Lytechinus pictus: one gene and its partner. The protein of the gene in region 2 purifies or fractionates together with the protein of the main gene of each other region. This does not show direct contact. Links are inferred from orthologs where the notes say so. Each region holds a gene or a part of one and is shown on either strand. Other genes may lie near its edges.

Region 1 (7,967 bases), on a different chromosome or scaffold from region 2:
GTCTACAACCCATTCATCTACTTGGTCTCATTGCAACTTAGCCCATTAACATTTTGTGTAAGTTCCAGATTATGTTTGGTCCAATGTCCTCTAATCAAACACCACTTGATTAGATTAATATTTTCATCTGCCAAAGTGAAAAAAAATCACTAAATGAAGTGGACATAAGACCATCTGCACAATAAACTAAATGGTAGTTAGCCCAATGTCAATAATAGACCAAGATATGTTTGAATAAAGTGGCCATTGGATCTAATTAATAGTAAACCAAGTGGGTTACGCCATGAATCATGGCTAAACCCACTTGGTCTACTATTAAATAGATCCATTGTGTTGAGAAGATGATCTGAGAATTAGACCATCTGCAAGTAGACCAAGTGAATAAAACCATTTATCCCATATCTCATATCAAGCTTCCTCTTTACATTAAAGTAGTCTATCATGGAAAATTTCATATTTCCAATTATTGATGAAATTAGAATCACAGCACTGGAGACAGACAATACATTAATCTTCTCTACCATGGCATCCTACTGCATAATTAGTCTCATACATGTTTCTGGTCTCATCTGTTATACAGATGGTATCCATTCCAACATTGCCAGATACATGCGGCTGAATCGTAATCAATAACATAGGGCCTGAGAAAAAAAATCGATTAGAATTATAGTTAATGATTAATTTAAAATGAAAATAACTCATGGCCTGAAAAAAATCTGAATGCAGAACATTGTCTGAAAACTTGCATCTGTGTACTTGCTTAATGATTTGCCTGCATTTTATGGCATTGACACCTACATGTATATCTCCCTGGATGTTATTTCTAAGAATTTTGGAAGTAACATTATGACATAATAAGATGCACCAATAAAAAATCAAATCATACTGCTCCTATTAATCAAAAGGCTGAATTACTTCAACCATGATTCAATAATAACAATTAAAAAAAAATTGAAGACAATACTCACTCTGAGAGGGTGATAAGACCAACAGTGTTTTCAGGATTAGAGCGGGTCTTGGAGAGACATACGAGATTGACTGCATCTTGCTGTGCTTGGATGCGGGTTGGAAGAAAATCTCCATTCCGCATGTATTCACTGGTGTCAACACTGTTTAAACACACAGAAACAACATAAATGATATGAAAGGACGGTGCCTTCATCAGATATTCTAAACTGTTTAAATTTTGTTCAACCTACATGGAGGAGGGGGACATTGAAATCTCACATACATGTATGTATGTGAAGATATAGCTCTCATGGCTATGCTTTAATAACAAAAAGTTGGCAGTCAATAATAAGATGACCAAGCTAAAAGAGCAAGACAAGATGAGAAAGAGCGAAATTAAGGACCCCGAGTCTGACGGGACCCAAAGTGAAATTGACAAATCATATTTTAATTGAAAGCTTATAGAGTAACAAACCCAGATTTCGACATGTTCTACCATTCGACATGGCAAACTTATTCCACAAGCCAGCACAGTCAATCACCACAACTCACACCAAACATATAGAGGTCTAGACAGCTGGCAGCCATCTGTTTCAAGGGGTTTTTAAACATTTTTTATTTTTTTATTTCTCCTACATGTAGTACACAGACTAGCCAGCAGGCTCCTGGAGATTAATGTCATATCACTGACGTGCTTAATATCCATGGAGCCAGGGACGGGATGCCATTGCACTACACGTACAGTAAGAGTTGCCACGCTCTAACTTAATGGAAATCGCACATTTAATTTAGGGTTTGAGCCCAAACTTATGTAAATGGGCTACAATATCATTTCAATCCGTTTGGCTCAAAAATAGTCATATTTTAAAATAACATTACACATAAAATGAATGAAAATATTAAAAGTAGAGGAGCGTTTACTCACATTCTGTTATTTTCGCCATCTTGGCGTCTTTGTTATCGTAGCCTGGTTACAAGACGCCTATAGAGGTCGACAATATCATGAGCAGTGCTAACTTAGATAAAAAAATTACTTGCATCGGCCAATAAATATCATGATTCATGATATTTATCAGCCGATGAAGTATCATGAATTGTACATTTATCGGCCGATGCAAGCCAAGTATTTAACGATTCATATTTATCGGCCAATGCAAGTATTTTTTAAAATCTAAGTTGACACTGCTCATGATGATATTGTTGCCCTCTATACACCTCTTTGTAGCTAGGCTACGATCACTCAAGGGTTCATTATATGCCGCCGCGCACAGAAAAATCAAGCCATAGAAGTCGTGTGTTGTGGACACCAGAAGTGGGATCCCAGCACACGCGACCCACTAGTTAGGAATCCACTGCCAAACGCGGTTCATGGTGCAACTAACCTCGCAATACGTGTACGTGTGAGTGGGCTACGATAGGCAAAGACGGCAAGATGGCGACAATAACAGACTGAGACAACGCTCCTCTGGACTCCGAGTCTGGAGTCTGGTGCTGGCTCTACTTTTAATATTTTCTATTATGTTTAATTATATAAAAAAATATCTCTTTAAGACTTTAGTGCTAAAAGCTTACAAATAGTATTGTAGCCCATTAACATAAGTTTGGGCTCAAACAAAAGACAAAACCTAAGGCTAAGCCTAACGTAAAGAAAATGAGTAGGGTGTATTTTTGCCTAACATTGCATGTTTAATTTTGGAGCAACATGGTCATGAATTCATGATTAATATTGTTGCCAAATTACTTGGTTTGTGTAAAGCAATGGCATCCCGTCCCTGGCTCCATGGAGATTAAGCACGTCAGTGATATGACATTAATCTCCAGGAGCCTCCTGGCTAGGGTGCATATATGGAACTCTTCCCCATAAATTGGATTTTAAATACACCGCAGCAATGTAAACATTACATTAAAAGCAATTCGTGGGACCGATATAAGACGATGAAAAATGCATAATCATTGAGCGTAAAGATTCAGCAACATTGCTTCCGAAAAAATGCTTAAAATGCAATATTTACATTTATCGACATGCTCTAGAAATTGAAAGTCAATATATTCAAATTTAGATATCATTCCTCATTAAATAAAGTGTCATTACTTACCAAACTACCGTACTTTCGAGAGGCATTTTTGCTGAATTCTAATGTTCTTCCAGGACTAATTACTAGCGAAGAGGGCGCTTTTATAAGATCGTATCTCTGACTGTGGCACCTGTATTTTGCTGTATAATAATTGTAAATACGTTACTACTATTGTTAAACCTTTATATACATGTATCATGTACATGTAATATGTTAAAGCCTTAATTTGCTCCCACGGGACCAAAAGGCGTTATTTCAATAAAGTTCAAAGTTCAAGTGAAAAAAATAATAAAGAAAAAAAGTCGGTGAACCAATATTTCGATCAGTGTGCTCCCGAGCACTGGTGTACGACCAAGAATAGAACAGAGAAAAGGGAAGAAAGAAGGAGGCGGATGAAATATGATATCATTTTCTGAACATTATGTTAACATATATCACAAAATTCTATTTTTGTCACGAAAATATAAAAAATTTTGCTCCCTCGCAACTTTAAATAAATTTTACGCGATACGCCACATCTATAGCTCCCTCAAAATTTTAGGCTCATTATACGCCTCTGCTCCTGAGTATATACGTCAAAAAAATTAATGCAATCATGATTATGATTATCACAGTAATTTTGATGTTTTCTTTGGTTATTTTCAATATCAAAGGATTCCGCACTTCTTCAGACCCCGTTGCTCAATAATTCAATAAAAAAAAAAAATTTTAAAAAAAAGGAGAGAAGAGAAGGCGTCATGGTGAGAGTGCCGGGGCAGACTTACTCCCGATTTTGTAACAATGAAAAAGTGTGGCCCTTGGTCTATGCGAAAAGTTGCCCTATTTGGGGCAGGGCTGACAGGCCACTGTTTTATTTTTGTAGACCCTATAGTGTGGACGTCTGTGCCTAATAAGTATTTCGTTTTCGGCATCAGATAAATTGAGGACATTTTAAATCAACCTCACAACAGTATCCTCAATTATTCCAACATATTCGAATAAGGTTTTTTTCCCCCCATCTTCTCCATTGTTAGATATACCGCACATAATAATATTGTATCCACTAACTGTCTCCTTCAATTCGTGTGGGTCTTTTTGCATGGGCCTTTTAAAAATCTTTTTTTTTTTTTAATGTTTCTTGTAGGCATCAATAAAATGAATCCAGGACTTTTGGACGGGGGATCTTAACTATAAAAAGTGAACCTTTGTAGTTTATATTCAGTTCCGTTTGCTTCAGCCTTTTCAGGGGCGGATCCAGCTTTGGTCAATATAGGGCGGACACATTTATATTTTAGTCCACATTTTCCCCCGATTGGCCACTATAAAGCTGAAGTTTTAAATGACAAGTCCGCCCCAACTAAAAAAAAGTTTAGTTGAATAAAAAAAAAAAAATCCAACGAGCATATACACACTGGAAATTTCATCAAAAAGTAATGAAATCTTCAAGTTTCGTTTTATTTTAACAAAACAGTTACTATATGCGCATCCTGGTCGGTATCAGGGGACTGATGACGTCACCAACTCACAATTTCTCAGTTATTTTATTGTTTGAAAATGTCGTTGGAAAAAAAAAATCATCTATGAATATTTTGTATATCAAATTACTATCGTAGCATTTTATGGTTCAGTCAAGTTGGCCCTTAGTGTAAAATCTGTAAAAATTGAAATATTGTATAATTCAAACAATAAAAAGCAAAAGAATTATGAGTGAGGAATGTAATCGAATCTCTCTATAGTAGGTCACTGAGTTGTGCTAAAACTGTTTTTGAACAATAAAGCGAAATTTTAATATGTAATTACTTTCTTAATTTGCATCCGATTTTGATGAAATTTTCAGCGCTATGCTAGTTTTTTTTAACTGTTTAGTGTTTATATCATATCCCCCTATTTTCCTGTTTGCAGCGGGCATGGACCTGGCAACGGAGGAGGAGGATTATTTATTATTACTTGGGGTGCTGTGACAATGCTCAGCACCCCAAGTAACAGTATATTTATCCTCTGTGGACGGGTCCATGGCAGCGGGGGTTCCATTAGAACCCTCTGTCTAGGGGCCTAACATAATTATTATGTCCCTATAAGGCATATTATGTTCCTCGATCTCAATTCAAGCAATGTATCTAATCACTTCTGATAAAGACCGTCTTAAGTGCCCTTTACACGGACCATAGTACATTAATTTAAGGCTCTTTAGTAGCCAAAGATCACTGACATGAAATAAAAACCAAATTGAAAATATAACGGGCTGCATTTTTTGTGATCGCATTTCTAAATGTTCGTTTGATAGTGTTCATCTTTTTATCAGTACTGCTACAATTTCTAAGCATTTCCCTTTTTACAATTAAAAAAAAAATAGATAAAAATGGCCCAGTATGCAAAACAATATTTCATTTTTTTTATCACACTAACTTAAAATTCCATCTATAATCTTATCTTTCTTCTTTGATGGATCTCTCCTCGAGACAGCCAGGGCAGAATGTTAGTATAGCGCCATCTATAAATCCACCCTTTTCAAGGATCTTTCATTATAGTATACGGCAAATTATAGATAAACCATGTCCCCTAGCTCCATGGATAAACTAGCAAAACAACAAAAGAAAGGCAGATAAATTTCGAAATAAAGGTGGCAAGGAATTAAAAAGATTCCGTCCTAAGTTTTTGTTATAAATTGAATAACACTTCACTAAATATACAGCGCATTCGTTATACTTTTACTGATGATTCTTGTGAAAGATTATATATATATATATATATATATAGCACTTTCTCGAGCTATGAATGCTGTAACAAGTTTTTAAGACTTTACACAATTATTTGATTATTTGAAGGTTTTTAAACAACTTGTTTAAAATTCTAACCAAGAAAACATCACCACCACCACCATCATCATCATACAGATTATCACCACCATGTTTTATCACAACTGTCATAATCATAATTACCACCACTGTCATGAAACCCGATGAATCCCCGGCATGAAACATCCATGAATATACTGAAAGCAAATCACCACCATCTGGTTTACCTGCACTCCGGTGGGCCTACACGTCTACCACAACCATAATCCCCACCCCATCACTACCACCGACACCACCACCACCCCCCACCATCACCACCACTCGGACCACCACTCACAACAACCAAATCATCACCATCTTAGGCACTCCGGGTCATCAACCACCATCTTACTCCCTTTGGCGATGAGCTGAGTGTAATATAATTATTGCGGAAGTTGTCGCCGCGGTTGTTGTCGTGGGCGTTGATGTTGTTGTTGAGGGCATGTGTTGTGGACCCGGGGGGGCCACTTACATTGACGAGTGGATACCATGCGCGACCAAAAAAACACGTAAAAAGGATGTCCTTTTCACGATAGGGCACGTTACGTACGTAACGTGATAAGGGTGTCAAAAACACAAAAATAATGAAAAAAGGGTATCTATTTCGCTAGGACAATTACGTGTTTAGGGTCGAATTTGCGGGGATGATAAAACAAAATTAAAATGTTTTATAAAGGATGTCCTTTTTGCCCCAACACTTCGTGTTTAGAGTCCAATTTTCGCGAGATGTAGAAGATGCGGTCGTACTAAACCAAATTAGGTAAAGCCGACGACCGAAAGACCCGTAACAATAAAACATTCATGTACTTGTTTAGGGGTTCATTTCAGGGAATATTTGCCAAGGGTATCGTTTTGTTTCCAATACTTGTTAAGGGTAGGGTTTCACACGCCAATACTTGTTAAGGGGTGCATTTTCAGAATATGGAAATTACGTGTTTAGGGTGCTTTTCGAGACCCCATGGTCGCGCATGGTATCCACTCGTGAATGGAACTGGCCCCCCCGGGGTTGTGGAGTTGAGCAATACTACTACAACAAAAAACTTGTATGGGATTTCCCTGAATCCCTTCAATAATGTGCGGGATTCCGCATGAGTGATTGGATAAATTCCAATCACATGACTTGACAATCGGATCACTCACTCATCAAACATGGCGACGTCGGGAGAGGTTCGGTGAAGTGAGAGGAGCATCTACCGGCGCGCTGAGACGGTGTTTGGAAGCAGATTTTCTCTTCTTTGCTAGTAAATTGGAATATATGCATGACACAATGACGGGGTGGGTTCCAACAAAGGAGGCAAAGTATGCTGTTGGTAAGTATTTTATACAGTTATCGCACAGTTCAGATTTTTTTTATCTTGAATTTCGCTTGGGAGGCCGAGGGAGACGGAATTCAGCTGCAGACAAGGGTCATTGCCCATTCGGTGCGGCAGAGCCAGAGCCACCGGGGCCGGGGCGACTGGTGGTTACCGTTGACCAGCCTCTGCTCTGCTGAGCTGATACCTTGGATTCTGAGATCCATTTTATCTCAGATAAACTATAATATTTTATCTTGTACTCAGTTAGAGTAACTTTACAATCCAATGTCTTAATCAAGTACTTTAGTATTTTTAGTTTATCTTTGTTGAAATCACTCATCCTACGAACGAGGTTGTTGAAATAATGACAAAACAATGTCAATGTCATGAGACAAGATTAAGATAACCGTAAATCTGAATTTGTATAACAGTTAGTTTAGACTACTATCTTATCTTCATTTTATCTTTGTAGACAGTGTAAGACACACCTATTGCCATTAATGAGATATATATTTTTTTAGATCTATCTAGATCTAGTAATACTATAGTAAATGTGGCTGTCAATGAGAAATGCTGTACATGTAAGTGTACTTATAGATCTATACCGTTAGCTTTCTCATCTCATTCAATCAATGAAAAATGCTTTTTACCTATATCAGGTCATGCAGATGAGATGAAACTGGCAGTCAGTAGTCGATCTAGGTCTGTCTACAATAAAAAGTACAAATCCTCTCACAAAAATTGCTACAATAAGAATAAGTAAGAATGCCACACTTCCAGAATGTCGACGTAATAATGGGTAAATTTGAAGGCGCTGATTCGAAACATCAAATAAA
Region 2 (7,585 bases):
AATGAACTATGTCCATTTTAAAAGTAACAGCAGTCATTTAGACTCCGATTTTTGGAAGCCATCTTGTATTTTCGACATACTGGACCACTGACTGTCCTTGTAACTAATTTTCTGCCTTTTGAAACCATGATATAGGCAACAAAATCATATGCCCTTGACGAATAAAACATGAACTATGTCCATTTTTAAATACCATCGCGGCTAATTGATACCATATTTTTTAAGCCACCGTGGACTTTTGGACATACTTGACCACCAATCGTTCTTGTAACTTATCCCAATTTATTATTTGACCCATTTAACCATGGTATAGGCACAAAAAAATCATATTCCCGAATATTGAACAAACTTTGTTGGGTTTTTTTAAAGTAGCAACAGCATTTTTTACTCCATTTTTGGAAGCCATCTTGGATTTTTGAACATACTGGACCACTGACTGTCCTTGTAACTTGTCCCAATGTATTATTTGACAATTGAAACCATGGTCTAGACACCAAAATCATATCTCTCAGGTTGATGTGATATGAGCTATGTCCATTTTAAGGATTAACAGCCATTTTAAACTCAATTTTTGGAAGCCATCTTGTAACTTGTCCCGACGTACTACTTCATCATTAAAACAATCGGATGGAAACCAAATTAAAGCCACTTAAGTAAGTAATAGATGAATTGTGGAGTTTTTAGACTACGGCATCCATTTTGGGCGCCATCTTGGATTTTCCTGGTACCCTGGAGTGCTAATATTCACTCTAACTTGTATAAATAAATTCTGTTACCCATTGGACCATGGAATATGAACCCAAATATGATTCTAGGGTGGATAATGAGTGAGTTATATCAATTTTTAGTGAATGGCGGCCATCTTGGATGACATCTTAAAAATAACCACTTTCCCGGATGCGGATTTTGGTAGATTTTTAGTATGTTATTCCTGAGGTCAAATAGTACAAAATACCGTTGAAAAATCATTTGTTGCAATTTGTTCCGGGTCAAACCATATATTGACCCGTCTATTAGTTTCTTTGGGTTTTCATGATTTTGGGTAACAAATCACATATAAACAATACAAGTAATTTGAAATAAAAAAGCAGCATACACATTATTAGTTTACATCAGAAAAAGTACAGCTTATCAACAGATAAAAAGTGATAAACATGTTGTAAAAGCAGTCACTTTGTCTCTTCTAAGTATTCCTCATCCCTTATAGTATAGTAAAGGCAAGAATGTAAATAACAGAGGGATACAAATCAGGTGATTTACCTAGAGATTAACAAATTTCTATCCTCAGAAGGCATATTAAAATATTCTTCAGTTACAAAAATTAAAAATGATAGAATATCTTACAACTTAAATCTCCATTTCCGAAAATGGCTTGTAGGTTTATTTTTCTTGGCAATACGATATTCAATATCCTTGTTAGAGGTTAAATATGCTTTATAACCATCAAAAGTTGGTGGTTTGTTCTGAAATTTACAAATATAAATGTAATATTTAAGCAAAAGAAACAAATATGCAAGGAATGTATCATCAATATAACCAAACATTTTTTCAAATGTTGAAACATTCTGTAAATCAGGCTTTTTGGTTTCCTTAATAATAGCTTTCATAACTTCATCCCAAATGGGTTTCACAACAGGACATTCAATAAAAAGATGTAAATAGGTTTCCGGGTCACTGTTACAAAATAAACAATTAGGGAAGTCCTTCCTTTTAATTTCATGCAGGAAATCATTCAAACCTATTGCTTTAAAAAAATAAACTTGAAATAAAAAGAGCGCACACGTGTCATTATAGTATAAATACATTTTGATTATTTCTTCCCTTTTCCCCCATCAAAAAGCAAAATTTAGGAGTAATCGAGGAGGGTGCAAAAGCGCACCCCTTTGTCCATAGACGGTTGTTTGCTCATAACAATTGCTTAATGATATTTATCGACTGAAACAAGTATTTTACGATTCGTAATATTTATCGGCCGATTAAAGTATTTCTTAAATCTAAGTTGGCAGCTCTACATGCGTGTGGTATCTTGGTATCGATAACAAAAGACTCCAAAATGGTGACGTAAACAAACTGGGTAAGTAAACCAGGGTAGGAATTAATTTTTTTTTTTAGGGGAAAGAAAAAAGAATTTTTAGGGGCGATTTGGGCTGTCATGGGGGCAAAATCGCCCGTCGCCCCCGTGTAATTCCGACCCTGAAGTAAACGCTCGTGCTCTTATGTTTTTTTCAAATTTAGTACTATTTTTCAATAAATATAAGGACCTTTATTAAAAATGGGGGGTAAATATTGTTTTGGCCCATACGTTAGTTTGGGCTAAAAACGTAAAGTAAAGGAAAATGTGTGATTTAGATTTTAGGTTTACTTTCACCGTGGGAATCCTATGCCTATACAGGGAGTTATGGCATGCCGTCCCAGGCTTCATGGGGAGTAAGCCTACGTAGTAAATAATTTTACTCCCCAGAAGCCTCCAGGCTACTGCCAGTGCCACTGGTAAGCTCCAACGTAACGTTACTCATAATTCATATTTACATGAGTCTGATGAGACAATTTAACTGCTAAAAATGGGCTTTCACGTCATTAGATACGAACATCTTTATTACTATCAGTATCACCCATTAACAAAAAATCGCATTACAAGTTAGTCTGGGTTAAAATCTTAAAATAAATGCACGTCCTGTGACTGTGCTAAGCCTAAGGCTAAGCTAAGGCTAAGTCCAGTATGGCTATGCCTATGGCGCTACGGCGGCGTTGCGCATTGTGAAACGCTGAGAGTGCAGTGAGAGACTGTGGTCTGTGAGTGTAGAGTGGATCATTCATCGCGCCGTGAATAAGCAATATTGACAAACTTCACCTACACTACAGTCGTTGCTAAACATGGACCCTCAATCACATATATTACCTGTTTAATTGTAGCATCGGGTTTGATTTCTATTGTTTCTTTGTCTTTCGGTGTCTTGACGACAACATTGATGATATCTTTAGCAGTGGTTCCCGAAGATTCTGTAGGCTCCGCCATGTTTCCAGATTTGTGTTTTAACAAATTGACCTCTCAAGTGACCGAATTTGTCTAACTAAGTTATGGAAAGCTACATTTGTAATGTGTTGTTGTTTGTACTAACTATTTTTTTCTACATTTACCATTTTCATGGTATTACTACAATAAATAGATTCGGGGATGTGGATGGTTTATATACATTGAAAAGTTTCCATTCATTTTTCCCATTTGAGTGTACTGAAGTCATTGATCAAATCAATGCCGTAACTCCGGACTGCAACATTTCCCACATCTCTATTTTATCAATTATTATATTTATAGGCCAAGTGGATCGACTTACAATCTAAGCCTAATTTGCTCAGAATTTTTGATATTGCATCATTTCTGAATATGATTTCACTTATCTCTCTTTGCATCATAATACTGTTAACCTTATTCCCGATTTCCATTCTCATCTCACATCTATCGGTGAAAAAAATAATGATAATTTTCATTTAAGGCTTTATATAATTCAATTCAATTAAACATTTATTTCCAAAGATAAAAGCATTAATACAATTTCAAAAATTTAACAACAATGGAGGTACTCTGTAAGCAGTGCTTGTGACGAGTGCACCGTGATAGAAATAAAAAAAACATATCCATACAAAGTACATTGACTGATTGATTGATTATGGTTGATTGATTGATTGGTTGATTGATTGCGGATTGATTGATTGATTGATTGATTGACTGACTGATTGATTGATTGATGATCGCTTTATTTCCGCATTCAATGCATCAGATATAAGTTTATAAAGTAGTACACTGCAAAAACTCCGGTGTTGATTTAACACCAGCCCGGCCTATGTCCACACTGAGAAGTATTGAAATAGCACCACTTTGGAATCAAACCGATGCTGTTTTAATACTAATTGGTGTTGTATAAACACCTATCTGGTGTTAGACCAAAACGAAACTTGTGTTGTTTAACAATTCTCTGCATGGTGTGGACATATATAGATTCCGGGCTGGTGTTAATTCAACACCAGAATTTTCGCAGTTAGTATGTACAAATCAATGTAGGCCTATATAACAAAATAATATTGTTAAAGTATAAGCATTGGATCAATAATGTTAAACAAAATTTGATTTGATTTGATTTATTTTTTCTTCTGCATTCATATAATTATAACATTTCAATTTTCATTATGTAACAAACATAATATATCGGTAATTGATTTAGGTATGAATCATAAAGAAAAAAAATACAAAATAGAAAGTCATTCTAAACAAATATGATCTACAACCAACAAAGAACATTTTAACATTTACAGTTTGCAGGAGAAGGATTGTCATTATTAGCAGATTGCTTGAAAAAAAATGACAACCCCGGAATAAAACTCATTAAATTATTACATACATTTATAAAGCAGAATGGAAATGTTATTTTGTTTATAATTGTATAATGATGAAGATGGAGATGAATTAGGATGATGGTGATAATGGTGAAAATGAAGGCCATGATGGAGATGGAGATGATGATGATGGTCATGGGAGAGTACTTGGTGATGATCAAATCACAGGAAAAATGATTTAATCAAAGAACGAGATATAGATCCAACAAAAGATTATTGCAAATCGAAGTGGGAGTTCTTTTGAGGTTTAGAACTGAAAATGGGACATTCTATTCAGCTATTTGATCATGAAAAGTATGGGTTTTGCTACAGAAATGATGCGAGCGCGAAGCGCGTGCTGAAAATTTTTCATATTCCAATCTGAAAAGCGGACATTTTGAGCACGATTTTAGATAAAGAACAAGTTGTGTATCTCAATCTCGCTTGCTGATTTCTCTGTAAAAACATTACAATCTTATTTTATTTTTTGCACATGCGGAATTATTGGGGGGGGGGGCAAAACGATATGTTTGCCCCCCCCCCCCAATATTTCCATTGGTGGGGCGATCGCCCCCCTGCCCCCCCCCCCCAGGATCGACGCCTCTGCCCTGGGTAACCTTTCCCACCTTCAGTGCCACTTCCAGACCTACACATCCAAACGTGTATGGGGGGCAGCAAAATGGAGGGCAACGAGGACTACGAGGTGCCCAAATATCCTCGTGTATTGGTAATTTGATGACCGAATGTATAATTTCTGCAAGTTTCATATCATGTTAAAATAATGGCTATAAATAATAATTAAAAAAATGTTCGCTCGCTCGAAAATTAAAAACTGTGAAGTTGATATTTGGGCAATGATTATCAGCCCCCCTTGAAGAAATTGTGCCTATACGTCCATGCCTACTACCCCTCCCCCATCCACCTTGCTCATTTTTGTCGCTTGCCCCCCCCCCCTGACGAAATATGCCAGGTACACCACTGAGCAACTATATAATTATTCAAAATATGCAAAAAAAAATTGCTATCGAGCTTTGAAGTTCACCAAGTTTGCAAGGTCTCGAGAAATACACAAGTAAAATAATATTGCGTTTTTAAACCCCACGGGATCACGACGTTGAGTTTGAACCTCTATTACTCAGTCAAAACCCATCTCAGTTTCACAAAATTTTACATCATAGTTCAGAATTATATACTTAATTCACTCATATTGCTGTGCTCTTTAAAGAGAAGTAGCACCTTCAATTTTAATGAGGTGTGAAAGGCGACAAAAAATATCTATAAAAAAAATTGACATTTATATAAAAAAATAAGAAATACAATGAATGCTGCACTTTATTTAAAATCCATGTCATTTTCACAAAATGGTTCATACTGTACCCCCCCCCCCCTCCGGAGTCAAATACACAACAACAGTGGTGTACCGTCGGGTCACGGCATGGGGGGCACCAGCAAAATTTTTGAGTCACTTAGTGAGCGCGCGAAACGCGCTCAGTTAAACGTATATCTCACTGATCATATGCGAGCGCGAAGCGCGAGCTGAAATTTGTTTATATTCAGACCTAAAAAGGGACATTACAAGCAATTTTTTGTAATCATGATACGTACCTATCTCGCTAAACAAACAATGCGAATTTTTGTTTATACTGACCACAAACAGGGACATTTTAAGGACTATATTTTAGCCAATCCATTAAGAGTATACATATATCTCACCCCCTCTCACCATGAAATCTAATGCGAGTGCCAATTAAGTGCATGCTGATTTTTTTAAGGATTACATCTAAACACATGGAGCACTTTTGTAGTAATTGTAATCATGATTATCATACGCATCTATCACTAATCGAATATTGCGCGCGCGAAGCGCGAGCTGAAGATTTAGGAAATTCAGACCTGAAGAGGGGCATTCTATATAAGGCTTAATTGTTTGTAGGAATTCACGAAGACCAAAGATACGTATTTCACAGTGATGCGAGCGCAAAGCGCAAGCTGAAAATTTTTGATATTCCGGATCAGAAAAAGGGACATTTTAAGCCTGATTTTAGGAATTCATGAAGAGCAGACATATCTTACCAATTCACTAATGCGAACGTAAGCATGGACAGGAAATGTTTTATATCAAGGCCTTAAAATGGGGCAGTTACTTTAAGTATAGTCACGAATAAGAAGCACGTGTCACTATACATAAAACAATATGTGTATATTGACTTGAAACGGGAGGTTTTAGTACAACAGGATTACATATCTCGTTAAACAGACAATGTGAGCACGAGGAACAATGGAGACATATAGGCCCTGAGCAAATTATGTTTCATAAAGTTATGAAAAAATGTTTTTTTATGTAATATAACATAACATAATATTACATTATAAATATAATGAACAATATCTTCTTTCTCGCTACGTTTCTCTCCCTTTCTCCCTCTATTTCTCCTTTTCCCCCTTTTTTTTGGCCAGCCCGGCGTAGTTACGCCACGTACTGTATTTGACTGGCGCCCGGGGAAAATGTACAGTACGCTTTGTTATTATCATCTCAAAGAATAATTTCAGTTTGCGAATTTTATAACACATTGGAATTAAAAAAAAAACAGAAACTTCATCAAGACCTTTATTAAAAAAAATAATGATAATAACAGACCAGGGTAATAAACAGCGGCCAAAATCCCGGGCCAAAAATTAATGAAGGCCGGTCTTACCGTTTTTGTAGTCATCGTTGTGTCGAAATCAAATCATGGTCACATAAGAACTGTCTACCATCATACCATGGCGTTCCATAGGCTTCTAATGTAATGCTTATATCGCATACGGATGTACACGTATGGTTAACGTACGCGAAGATTCGAGTAGGAGTTAGAACTTAGACTTTTGCCCTTAGAAAATTATTTTGATTCATGCTTGATATATGAATGTCAACATGTCGAGAACAAAGAAATTACTAAGCAGACCTGAACTTCCAAGTCTTGATGAAATCACTAAAGACTTGGAATCGGCGCCGAGCGATGATGTCGCGTTTACATTCTTGAAGAAGGACATTACCGATACAGCTGGTGCTGCGCTTGGCGGGATTCCTCATCAGGATTCCCATTCAAAATCAAGAGATTTCCTCCCCTCCGGTAAGTGAACCCACATCGACCCAGATACTCTTCCATTGCATCTTTTATTTATTCTGATTAAAGGTCAAGTCCACCCCAGAAAAATGTTGATTTGAATAAAT

The links.
Region 1: the proteins of ubiquilin-1-like (region 2) and 26S proteasome non-ATPase regulatory subunit 4-like purify together in Drosophila melanogaster (affinity purification with western blotting; 3 studies listed by BioGRID, with this or other methods). This does not show direct contact. The link is inferred for Lytechinus pictus from reciprocal best matches to the Drosophila melanogaster genes Ubqn and Rpn10.

The regions. Positions count from the first base shown.
Region 1 is NC_087256.1:4,229,316-4,237,282, reverse strand, and holds the start of 26S proteasome non-ATPase regulatory subunit 4-like, read right to left. Parts: upstream 3,149-7,967; 5' UTR 3,071-3,148; coding exon 3,045-3,070; intron 1,110-3,044; coding exon 969-1,109; intron 1-968. UniProt on the Drosophila melanogaster protein: Binds and presumably selects ubiquitin-conjugates for destruction.
Region 2 is NW_026974140.1:5,441,914-5,449,498, forward strand, and holds the start of ubiquilin-1-like, read right to left. Parts: upstream 3,104-7,585; 5' UTR 3,017-3,103; coding exon 2,900-3,016; intron 1-2,899. Other genes in the region: uncharacterized protein LOC129260988, read left to right, coding at 7,274-7,484.